2 linked regions of the Caenorhabditis elegans genome follow. The protein of the gene in region 1 interacts with the protein of each later gene in a biochemical or structural test. Each region holds a gene or a part of one and is shown in the gene's direction. Other genes may lie near its edges. The genes, in order: ddx-19 and mpk-1.

What was found.
Region 2: of the proteins of ddx-19 (region 1) and mpk-1, one has a biochemical effect on the other in vitro, tested with the Caenorhabditis elegans proteins (one study listed by BioGRID).

The regions. Positions count from the first base shown.
Region 1 is NC_003280.10:8,883,035-8,890,491, forward strand, and holds ddx-19 (RNA helicase), read left to right. Parts: upstream 1-1,864; 5' UTR 1,865-1,873; coding exon 1,874-1,939; intron 1,940-2,145; coding exon 2,146-2,197; intron 2,198-2,243; coding exon 2,244-2,354; intron 2,355-2,433; coding exon 2,434-3,660; intron 3,661-4,002; coding exon 4,003-4,060; intron 4,061-4,109; coding exon 4,110-4,168; intron 4,169-4,219; coding exon 4,220-4,326; intron 4,327-4,371; coding exon 4,372-4,658; intron 4,659-4,811; coding exon 4,812-5,088; intron 5,089-5,138; coding exon 5,139-5,263; intron 5,264-5,312; coding exon 5,313-5,423; intron 5,424-5,586; coding exon 5,587-5,665; intron 5,666-5,718; coding exon 5,719-6,163; intron 6,164-6,207; coding exon 6,208-6,272; 3' UTR 6,273-6,666; downstream 6,667-7,457. Other genes in the region: rha-1 (ATP-dependent RNA helicase A), read right to left, coding at 1-411, 455-625; T07D4.5 (P53 and DNA damage-regulated protein 1), read right to left, coding at 777-878, 924-1,058, 1,104-1,295.
Region 2 is NC_003281.10:4,224,797-4,229,709, reverse strand, and holds the start of mpk-1 (Mitogen-activated protein kinase mpk-1), read left to right. Parts: upstream 1-1,615; coding exon 1,616-1,819; intron 1,820-4,913. Other genes in the region: F43C1.5 (uncharacterized protein), read right to left, coding at 23-162, 283-399, 445-513. UniProt on the Caenorhabditis elegans protein: Functions in let-60 Ras signaling pathway; acts downstream of lin-45 raf kinase, but before the lin-1 gene product in controlling vulval cell differentiation. Plays a negative role in proximal germline proliferation in the mitotic zone.

The DNA.
Region 1 (7,457 bases):
AATTTTGGTTCCATAGTTAACCTGTGGAAGTCTCATTTTTTGAAGAAACTCATTCAGCGCTTTCTTTGAATTCTCCATCGTCCATCCTCCATGAATTTCTGATTTTAGATCAACAGTTTCCGATGCAGCAATTTCTTCTGCTTTCTGTGTAATATATTGTTCATGTGTGCCCTCGTTACGTTGATATGCATTGTTACTCCAAGGAAATCTTTTTTGTGGAATTGGTTGCTGTGACTCTTGGAACGAGTTGCCATCTTCTCCACCACAAAACATTGTAGCAGTTTCAGAATCTTGCCACGTGGAAGAAGCTTCAAGACTCGAAGACGTTAGAGTCGGAATATCACTCTGTTGCATTTTTCCTTCTCTGACTAGGTATTGGCAGAAATCTTGAGCAGCATTGGTAGCAGCATCCTGAAAACTTTTGATAAAAACTGATTTCCCAAGTAGCACGAACCTTTTTGTTTGTGGAATTTCCGAAAGCAGTGTAGCCAAATCCTGTGATCCGAAGTTCGCATTTGAATCTCTGCCTACCACTCCTGGTTTCACTTTTTGTATCGTACGTCGGATTTCCATACTTATTCTTTCCTAACCAAGCATATAGAAATTCTTTGACGTCTCTGGACATCTAAAAATAATATTTAACAAGATTTAAAAAGTCGCGAATAGTTCAAATAAAGAGACGAGAAATTAAACTCGGATATACAAGAACAGGATAACAATACAAATTTAAGTATTTTAATATCAATTCATTGACCCGTATTCAGATATTTCATAATTTAATCAGTTAATTTTCCGTCTTTGAGCAATGGCTTTAAACCGAAACCACGTTCTTCTAGATTTCGCTTCTTGTGTAGTTTGAGAAATGTGTCCATGTCTTTCTGTAAAAAAACAATTCAATTATCGAATTAATATTTTTATTTTACCTTGATAACTTCTTGAATCTGTCCACGAACTTCTTCGACAGTTTTCGTATCTTTCTCCAAAATATTCAAACTATTTGCTTGGCTTGTTTGAAGGAAGCACGTTCCATTGTATATCCAAACTGGATCAATATCCTTCTGAAAATAAGTTATTCAGTTTGCATTATTGTTTTACAGACAAACCTCTTTGATTTTTCGGCTAACTTCTCGAAACTTCTGACGTTCATTATCCAGATTCACACATGTTTCTTTGGCGTGATTTAATTTCGTTGAAAGGTAAATTATCTCTGAAGTTTTGTCGCGTAACTCTTTTTGATGGTCATGCGGTGTTTTTGCGTTGTTCAAAGCCATTCCAGTAGACAGGTGAGTGATCATTTTCTTTAAAAAATAACAATTAGCAAGAATATCATGATACTTGCAAGTTAAAAATCCTAAATTTAAATATTAAGATATGTTTGTCGTATGATCTGGTGCATTGTGTGCATTACTGTGTACGGTGTACTGTCAACCGTACCCATTTTCGAAATTGCTCATCTCAATTTCAGATGTTTTTATTGGCGTCGATCCTAATTTTTTGTTTGTTTATTCTATTTATCTTTCATGTGTGCGTCATTTTTATAACTTCAAATGTTTAAAATACATTTTAAAGTTAAATTTCATATATTTTGTGGAAAAATGCCCTAAAAAGAAGATAGATTTTGTACTTCCCTGACCAAACAATGTGTTTACATGCATTATCAATGGCAAAATAGAGAAAACACTTCTAGAATAACTATTTCCTACCCTGTCGATGAACCAAAGAACTATCTTCTTTCTGCAATCTCTCCCTTCTCGGGTTCATGTGTCGACCCAAATTTCGCCTCAACATGTTTTCTTTTCAATTTCGTGTTCCGATCTTTAATTTGTCCTGAATACTAACAATGAATTATCGTAGTTCTCATAACAGATCGAAAATGGCTGATTGGGGTATTGCATTCGACGAGCAGTGTCGATCGGAAGGGCTTGAAGTGCCAGAAAAGGTGGTCGGATTTGTTAATGTCTATGTGTGTTCGTGATTGTTTGTCTGTTTGTCCGTCCGTGTTCCGAGAGTTTCGGCTCTTTTCTCTTGCACTGTACAATTGCTTTTTGCTTCTACCTCGCACAATTTTCATGCTTCTTCCCTGTATGTGTGCGTGGAAACCGAGTGCATTTTTTCAGCGGAACGGAATATATTAATTTCTTTCAGACCGAAAAGGTGCAATCAGGCTCGGAAATGGATCAAAATGAAGAGAATAAAGGTAAGATTCATCGGAGAAACTTCTTTCCTAACAGTTATTTTTACAGGATCAAATGGATGGGGAATTAGCCGAGGAGGCATGTTCGGCGGACCAAAAGCCAGTAATGCTCCACCACCTCAAACTTCATTCGGATCAACTTCGGGAACCCGTGTTGGTGGTAAGTGTTTATATCTGTTATGCTTGTACTGTGTCCATTTATCCTTTTGTTCCTATTAACTTCCCTATCGCAATTTTAGGTTCATTCGGAGGCCAAGCAGGGGTGGATGGCCGTGGTGCACCACTTGGTTCAGCAGAAGAACTCATTGGAGGAGGTAATATAATTTCTGTTGGAATTCACAAAGAAAAACCTGCATGTAAACGTGGTGGAGGCTTTGGCACTAACCGCAGCATGGCACCTTGTCCACCAGCAATAATTAAGAATAACCATGAAGGAGGACGTTTTGGAGTTTTAGCCCCGAGAACGCTGAGTGGATCGATTCCGCAAACTTCTACGAATCTTGAAGATTCTACACCAAAGACATCCACTGGAGGACGTTTTGGAGCATCAATCTCTCAAGGTGGAGCATTCGGTGCAAAAACACAATCATCGAGCGTTGCTCCGTCTGTTGGTGGAGGATTTGGAGTGAAATCTCCGAATATTGTCAGCAACGATATGCCTAAAGTTCCGGTAATGAAATCGGTTGGTGGCGGATTTGGTTCATCTATGAAGTCACCAGCGACAACCGGAGGAAGTTTTGGTTCCTCTACAGTTGTAGCATCTATTCGTTCAGAAGAAAGTTTTGGAATCAAGTCTTCCGCTTCGGCTGGAGGGTCTTTCAACAGCTCTTCGGCATCAGCATCCCAATCGAGAACTGTGGCTAGCTTTGGATCGAAACCATCAAACGAGAATATCTCTAGCAATTCTTCTGCACTTTCTTCATCTTCAAGCTGTTTTGCAGCAAAACCAACTTCTACTTCAGCTGGAGGAAGTTTTGGAAACCAACCGTCTAGTTTCTCATCGAAGCCGTCATTTGGTGGTGCCTTCGGAGCTTCAACATCCGTCACAGGAAGTTCTTCGATGGGAGGATCTTTCGGAAACAAGTCCACAAAAGTTCCAGATGTTGAAAGCCTATCACCACCAGAAATCTTAAGAAACCCATCAAATACCTCAGGCGGTGCTTTCGGATCGAAACCATCTTTTGCTGCTTCATCGTCTGAACTTCCTGCCAATAAGCATGTCGTCGGTGGAGGTTTCGGTAGATCAACTGCTCCAACGGTCAATACCTCAGTTGGTAATGAGTCTGGGCGTCTGCCTTTCGTAGAAACACGAAATCCGAATACTGAACAAGAAACATCGAGCTCCGTCAGACCATATGGAGCGAATTTCAATTCAAAATCCGAACCTGCTCAAAAGAATCCATTTGGCGGAAATTCAAGCTCTACCAAACCAGAGTTCAAGGAAAATGAAATGAAGAACTCGAGTGGTATGTTTTTGGGTATAAGAATATTTTATAGATACCAAATTCCAGGAAATCCCGGGTTATCAAATGATAATAATATTTTTGCCAGATTTTTGGTGTAAGACTTGCTTGTTTGCTTGATATTAACCTACCCTTTGTGTTTCACCTAAACACGATGTAATTAAAATCCACGAAATTTCACGTTCTCTTTAACAGTTATCAATTTATCAATTTTGGTTTCAAAAAAGGTAATGCTTAGTTTTGTGGATTTTATTGCACGCATGTCTAATTTTGCACATCATTGCTTGACCCCACAACCAATTCTCCCGTTTTCCTAAATAAATTAATTAATTCATATTTTTCTAGTTCCAATCATGCCAGGACAATCACAACCAATGAGAGGAGGATTCCAAGGAGCGTACAGGTAGTGATAGCAGACCCCCTCGATAACAATAATTATGATTTATTTGTAGAGGAGGACGTGGATCAGGCGGAGGGCAAATGGATTTCGGCGCCCCCGGTCAAGGACAATGTATTTATTGAATATTCATTTCACGTTTTCTGTCTCATTGTTTATTTTCAGCTATGGGACGTGGAAGAGGACAACAAAATCCAGCTTTTGTTCCACGACCAAGAGATACACCACCTCAGTACGGTGGACACCAAGCTGCACAACAATTTGTGAAACCGGTAATTTATTTCATTGTAAGCGATCGAAATCTATTTTTATTTTAGGATTCGAAGTACAAGTTCACGAAACCGGCAACAGAAGAAGCTCATGAACAAGTTCCAGTTCCAGCAGATATTGCTTTGCTAAATAAGTTCATTCAAAAGGAGGTGAAGATGATGAAAGACGTTGTCGTTGACGTGCAAAGACAAGACCCAAAATCTCCTTTGTACTCAATCTCATCCTTCCGTGAACTTCGTTTAAAACCCGAAGTACTCAAGGCTCTTGACACGATGAATTTCCAGTTCCCAACTAGAATTCAAGAAACAGCTTTACCACTTCTTCTTATGGAGCCGTAAGTTCTTTCATACATTTATTTTACGGGGGAAAACCAATGGTGTCGGCCAACAATTTTGGATTTTAGTTTAAAAATAAATTATCCAAAAAGCGACAGTTTTGATGCTAACTAAAATATCCTCAAAGTTTTATTATAATCGTTATTTTTCAGACCATCCAACCTTATTGCTCAAGCCCAATCCGGTACCGGAAAAACTGCTGCATTTGTGCTCACCATGCTCTGCAGGATTGATGTCAATCTGATGTGCCCCCAGTGCATTTGTTTGGCACCGACTCTTGAATTGGCCAAGCAGATCGGAGAAGTTGTTGAGAAGATGGGAAAATTCATTGATAATTTGAAAATTCACTACGCGATCAAAGGAGGAAATATGGCTGCAATGAGAGGACGAAAGCTTACTGAACAAATTGTTATTGGAACTCCAGGGATCGTGAGTTGACTAGTTTATGAAATAACTAATGAATAACTATTTCATTTAAGACTCGCGACTACCTTCAAAAGTACAAGTGCATTGATCCGAGCAAGATCCGTTGCTTGGTACTTGACGAAGCTGATGTGATGATTTATCATCAAGGATTCACTGATATCTCAACTACAATCTATAAGTATGAAATACTGTTTACCAACATAATAATTTACTTGTCTTTTTTTCAGTATGGTCGAAGATGCTTCAGATTCTGTCCAATCAATGTTGTTCTCAGCCACGTACGACGAACCAGTGATCAATTTCGCAACAAAAATCATCAAGAATGCAATTGTAGTAATGTAAGTTTCACAGATGCACTCCCTTTCCAAATCGTAATGTAAGCTTGGAACGGTTTATTTACTCGTGTCTTCATTAATATTGTAACAACTCAGTGGGTGGTCCGCTCTTGAAGCACCATTGTGTCCTCTTCCTCGTAAATCCAAAACCAAAACAAACTTTCAGGTTGAAACGTGAAGAACAAGCATTGCCGAACATTAAGCAGTTCTACGTTCAATGCGCCTGTAGAGATTCGAAATATGCGGTTAGATTTCAGTTTTATAAAAATGCTTATCTATAAACCAATGCAATTTACAGGCTATCGTCAACCTTTACAGTGGACTCGCTGTCGCCTCATCCGTCATTTTCTGTCACACGAAGGCTAGTGTTATGTGGTTGTATGAGAACATGAGAGCAAGAGGACATCAAGTTGATGTTTTACATGGAGATATGACTGTTGTCGAGAGAGCTGATACGATCATCCATTTCAAGCGCGGCGACTTCAAAGTTCTGATCACGACGAACGTGTTTGCTCGTGGAATTGATGTAGCGCAGGTGTCGGTGGTGATTAATTACGATCTTCCGATCAAGTACACCGATGAAGGAACTCCGATGGTGGTGGATGGATTCACTCAACCTGATTGTGAAACTTACCTCCACCGTATTGGAAGAACTGGAAGATTTGGAAAGACTGGTATTGCCATTAATTTGATCGATTCAGAAGACTCGATGAACATGATTAATGTGCTCGAAAATCATTTCCGTGAGTAATACATTTTTTTGCAATGACTAAAATATTATTTTCAGAGATGAAGATCGCTCGAATGGATCCATCGAATTTGGTAGAGCTAGAAGCCATAGAAATGGCATAATCTACAACATTTCATACGTTTTACTGCGGGTCAGTGTTTCCCACTCCCCCATATACCAATCTACTTTTTCACTTATCAAATACAGTTTGCCCCGAATTTTTGCTTTCCTTGACATTGTTGACTCTTTTCCATTTTTTTTTATATTCTCATTATTTTATTAACCAAGCGGATACTTAACACTTCACCATCATCATCATCTCCTTTGTATTTCAGTTCTGGTACGTAAAATTCTCCATTTTTGTTACAATGTGTGGAGAAGGCTTTAGAAACAAAAACGGTTCTAGATATTCTATTAGAGTTGATTGTTTGTGAGTTTTCGTTTTCGCCTTTATCTTGTTATTTGAATCCGAATAAATATTTCCAAAATAAACTTTTTTTGCCCGAGTTCCGGGTTTACATATTCATTTTTTGTTCGTCTTCCCGCTTTTAATTGTTTCCTGCATTATTCAAATTCGTTGCTGCCGTTTGTTTGTCGATATGGAAGATAAACAATGGCAAGTTCACATCTTTGTTAGGAGGGAGGCCTGTTCTCTTCCTTCTTCCTTCATGACAGGTCACTTCTGGCCACAATGCAAACTCAATTGTTATCAGAAGAAAATGGACGGGACCATTGATTTATCTACACTCCTTTTCAACTGATAAAACAATGTTGTCCATCGAGACTGACTCATTACTCTTCCAAAATGAACCCTTTTATTTAATTTTTGTATTCGGTGCCAGTAGCCACTACGTTTTTTTGCTTTAGCAACGAAAATTCCACCGTTTTTTTCATGTGACTCATACATCTTGACTGTACTATTGTTACAACCATAGAAATATTTCTTCGAAATCGCTAAAAAAAATACAGAAATTCTTCTATTTAGAAAATAGGCTCATTACGAATTTATGGCGACTGGTCTCGCAGCGACCGAACAATTTCGAGTGTGTACCTTTAAGGTGTACTACTGTAGGTCCTCACAATTTTATTTTATCTTCGAGGAAATTCTCGTTTTTTTGCTTTATTTTAGCAGATTTTTACGTTTCTCTGCATTTTTTTTGTATTTTCTACTGGACTTTTTCAAGGCTAACACTATTCTGTATTTTAAAACCATTTTTTCCGTGAAACTTAGTTATTTCTTTCGCAAAAAGGCTCTAGCGCTATCAAATTCTATTTATCTCGTAGAAATAAACTTTTAAACAATAGAT
Region 2 (4,913 bases), on another chromosome or scaffold:
TATAAATAATTTTATTTTCTACCTCGCAATTTCCACATCTGTAACCGTATCCAAAAATTTTTGATTTTCTCTCAGTTTTTCGTTTATTTCATGCCTTCGCTGCCTTAATTTTGTTAAGTCTCCTCCATGTGGAATAGATTCAGAAGTCGTTGTAGTTGGCGTCTGAAATTATTTTTGGAATTTATCGATCGAAATTTGAACAATTGAGATACAATATTCTCGCTGACAGTGCTTTCTCGTGTAGTAAAGCAATAATTTCTATAAACAAAAAAATTAACATACGTTATCATAAAGTAGCTCATTAATAGTGGCTGAAACATCTCCATCATATTTCCGTAGAACATATTCAATATGTGAATTGCTTAGACTGGGAAACATAGCTTGAAAGTCCAGCATTGCCTGAATATTTTGAAAATTTGTTGCCAAATTTGATTCTAGACGTACTCTATCAAAATCCAATAGTTCTTCTTCTACCACACCAGATCGGTCTTCATAGTCATCATAATCCGTCATTATTTCGTTAGAAAAAGCTGAAAAATAGTGTTGAAAATGAAATGAGTCAGCATTATGAAGAAGAACGCTCGTACAAATATTAAACATTTTGGGTGGGCGGTCAAAAAGAATGAGACAGTGTTGTGTGTGTACAATGGTGATTGTATTATCGGTCTGCGGTGAGAGAGTTATGAAAAAATACAGGGAAAATAGGCAGAATTTGGAGTGAAATTGCTAGTAAACTCGGAGTTTTTTTTTTGAAAAACTGCAAGTTAGAGTCTCTAAAGTTCGGAAAAAAGCTTTCTCTGACATCATAAATGATTTTTGCTCTTTTTTACTTCAACATAGTGATTTGGGAAACCATACAAAAGATAAATGGCTTCAAAACAGGAACAATATTATGCATTTTCTGACGAAGCTAATTAATTGACGAGGAGAAACTCATAGACTTTTTATTCATAAAAACAACTTTCGAATAGATTTTCTGCATTTTCTGTTTTTACATAGTTGGCCAGTTTTACTTTTACTGCGGGAAAAGTTCTATACGATTTTTTTTCCTTTATTTAGTGTATCCATTGAGCTAGAAAATACGAAAATTTGCCTTATGTCCCGAATATATCTGTAAAAAAAAACAGTGTTTAATTTTTCAATGATTTATTCAATTTCGCTGAAATATAAATACAAAATCGGCGGAAGGGAATTTGAATTTTTGCACTTTCTGGCAAAATTCATGGATTTTTATAATTTCACTTTTCATACATTTTTAAACAAAAAATGAAATAATAGTTAAATAATCGAATTTTGAACTGATTTTAAAGTTTCCGAAATTTTATTTCAGGTCGTCAAGTTTTCTTCACAAAAAAATCAAAAAAAAAATCATGGAGCCGTTTCTTTTATTTTTGCAAAATTGAAAAAAATCATTAAAAATTCAGAAAAAGAAATCTATAGTTTTTTTTAACAGTTAAATTTGGTAAATTGAGGGAATTTTCAAAAAAAGTTCCTTTGCAATATCAGAAATTTCTTTTCCGACGAAATATTTCACACTCTCAAATATTTTTATCCGTTGCCAGAACTTCTTCTTCATAAAACTAATAATTCTTTAATTTCAGAACCACGAAACATGATGCCAACGTGGATACCTAACAATTTGTGCGCACAGCCGACAACGAGAAATGCTAAACCACCATCGAACGGGCATCCACAAGCGACACAACAACAATCTGCTCCGGGATCATTGGCATACCGTAATTCGAGCAACATACCGAATGGAGCAACCAACCACGTCAGACAACAGAAATGGCAGTACACTCGTTCAGGACATAGAAAGGTACGAATGATAAGAAAATATGAAAAAAAAAGTTGGAGAAAAATAAACAAAAACAAGCATTTTTAGAAGCTGAAAAATATTAAAATGCTCTTTGGTCAGTTGGAAAATTTGAAATTTTTGCATTGAATTTCTACATTGAATTTAAATTAGAAAGTAAAAATACATTAAAAAATTAAGTCATTCAATTTAATTGCAAAATTCACAAAACGTTTTCAAAAAAGTGCACAATGTTCAAATAATCAGAACATAGCACGTAATCGGGTTGATTTGCCCATTGTGCTCCCATTATCGGGAAAATAAGTTGCGTATTGCATCAAAACCACTAACTTTGTACTTTTATTAGCCTATTAAGACTACCGTGACAGAGTACTGTGTGTGTGTGCTGGAAGAAAAGATTAGTGATGTGACGTTGATTGGTAGTTTTTGAATTGGAAAAGAGAGAAACGGAAGTGTGAAAGTTTGAATAGCTCAATGAAAATGGTTGATTTGAATGAAAAAATTCAAATTTTAAACCAGAAATTGTGCTTTGTGTTTTAAGCTTGAAGGTTTGATGATTTTTGCAGATTGACACTTCATTGACGTATTTAGTTTATACCGGAACACCTCTTAGAATCGTAGTTTTTCAACGAAATTTGAATTTCTGCTAGTAGAAAAAAACTGTTCACAACTTGAACATTTCGTATGTATCCCAAAATGCGATACCCGGTCTCGAAACGACACATTTTTTGGTAAATGCAAATAAGTGTGCGCCTTTAAAGAGTACTGTAATTTTAAACTTTGCTGTGTAATTTTCATCAAAATTTTTCGATAAAATTTTTTTTAACCTCAAATTAAAAAAAAGGTTTTTTTTTAATTATGAGAAAAACTATTTAAAAAATCGAAACTGGGTACCGTATTTTTTGGCGTAAAAATCCTAAAATTTCGCTACTGGGTAATAGTTGTATTTTCGAGGTTCCACTACAAATTACCGTAATCTGAGTGTCCCCCAAATTGAATATATTTGCATTCTTCTAAAGTTTCCAGTTAAGACATCTAAAATCTAATAGAATTAATTGAATTGGTCGTCTGATTGACATTCCAGCGTGCAAGCGGAGATTGGAGAGAAAAACAATGTTTTTTTTTCAAACCGAAAATCAGAACTTTTAAACGAACAAGGAAAAATCGAAAAGGAGTGTTCAAATACAAGAATCCATCTTCCGGAAGTTTTCTTCGTGCGTTTGGCCTAGATGACCCAGATTTTTCCTTTTTTCCGGACTTGAGCTACAGTTTACTGTACTTTGACACGTATTCCTTTGGGAACCCCGAGGATTTACACTAATAATTGATGTTGATCTATCTTCTACCCGCTTTCCATCAACAAACTATTATTTTGAAATCCCGTTGTGTACCCGGGTGAATGACTGACAGAGGTGTGAGGTACTTTGTGTATTATTTATGTTTCTCAAAATGAATGTAGATTGATTCATTGTAGTTTCACAGTATCGAAATTGAATTTTTCCGGAGTTAAAGTGTTCAGTAGTAGTTTTCAGAAACTAATTAGTTTTTTATCTAATAACTTCATACATCTGTTACAATTGTTGAATACCATTTTTTGTCATGATGAATCTATAGTTTCTTCTATATAGAATGAATGCGAACTCAACAGGAAATGAAAACAAAAATTCCGACTACCAATTTTTCCTTAAATTTGAGAATCTGATATTCAATTCTGAACCAGAAATCTGAAAATCTGGAATTTTACATCTGAAAAACCATGGAAATAAGTTGAAAAAGGCATTGAACATTATAAAACTCATATGTTCAATTGGCCAAATTCTCACTCGGAACGTTTCCAATATCCCGGAAGTTTTTGCAACTGAGACAAACTGAATTTCCCGACATTATTTCTCGAATTGAATCTTCTTTCAAAATTCTTACTCATTCGACAACACATATGTTTCAATTTTCCTCGGAATTGGGTGTGTTTTGTGTCGGATTTCCTCTCATTTTCGTTCGGTTTTTATTGTTGCGTGGAGAGCTGCATGGAAGAAAAAACCAATTTGATATGAAAGAAGAGCAACACTCATCATTCTTCTCCTCGGAATCGTAAAACCGTAATTGTACGCGTTGGTTTATTTGTCGATGAAGATGATGAGTAGGAGGAGATGAAGAAATTGAAGACGTTAGAAAGAAGAGAAAAGCGTAGAATTACACGCTTCGAAATTTGAGATTTAAGATGGAAATGCGGACGACAAGAAGAGCTCGTTCAAAAGATCGATTTTCATTAAAATTTTATATGGATTTCAAAAAAATTTCGGCAGGTTCTTTTCTACTTTGCGACTTTCAGAATTGAACTTGCTAGCTCCATATTCCGCATTAAATCTCATCGTAACATAAAAACGATTAATTTTCCAAACTCTAATAATTCATTTGTGAGAGATTTTTTTTTCTCTTTTCCATTTCATCGAAAATTCCGCGTTTTCTTAATCTCTGGATTTGTGATTTGGGCGAGAATCTCAGATTTTGCAAAAGAAAAAAGTGACGCGAGATTTTATTTACTCTCAAAAAATGATAGTTCGCAACTGCAAAAAGGAAAATAGAAAAGTATACTCCTTTTTTCTATGTCGAACTAAAAAGACATGCATCCTATATCCTTTAATTCGTTATTCGAACTTCATTAACGTGTTGTGCTCATCGGTGCAGATCCAGTCATTTGAATACTTTTTTCCCTTCCTCTTCGCCTCATTTAACTCAAAAAATGGAGAAACTCGTCTTTTCTTCTTTTTTTCCTTTTTCTCTACTCCAAAAAGGGCTTCTAAGTGTATTTGCACCACAACGTCTACATTAGTTGATGCTTCTCCTTGATGTCTCATCCGAAAATCGCCCCCTGTTTGCCCCCCGGAGATGGCTGAGAATAGAACACACGCATTGTTTGCCAAGGGAAGTCTACTGGCACTCACTCTGAAATCCTAACAAAACCAACCATTTGGCTACTGTTTGTTCATGTTTCGTTTGGAGAAGAAGAAATGAAGGCGGTTGTTGCACTTCATGGTTTTTATCGTTTTTTTTCAGTTTTGGTGGTAACAGTCGTTTTGAATTTTTGATACTTTTGTAT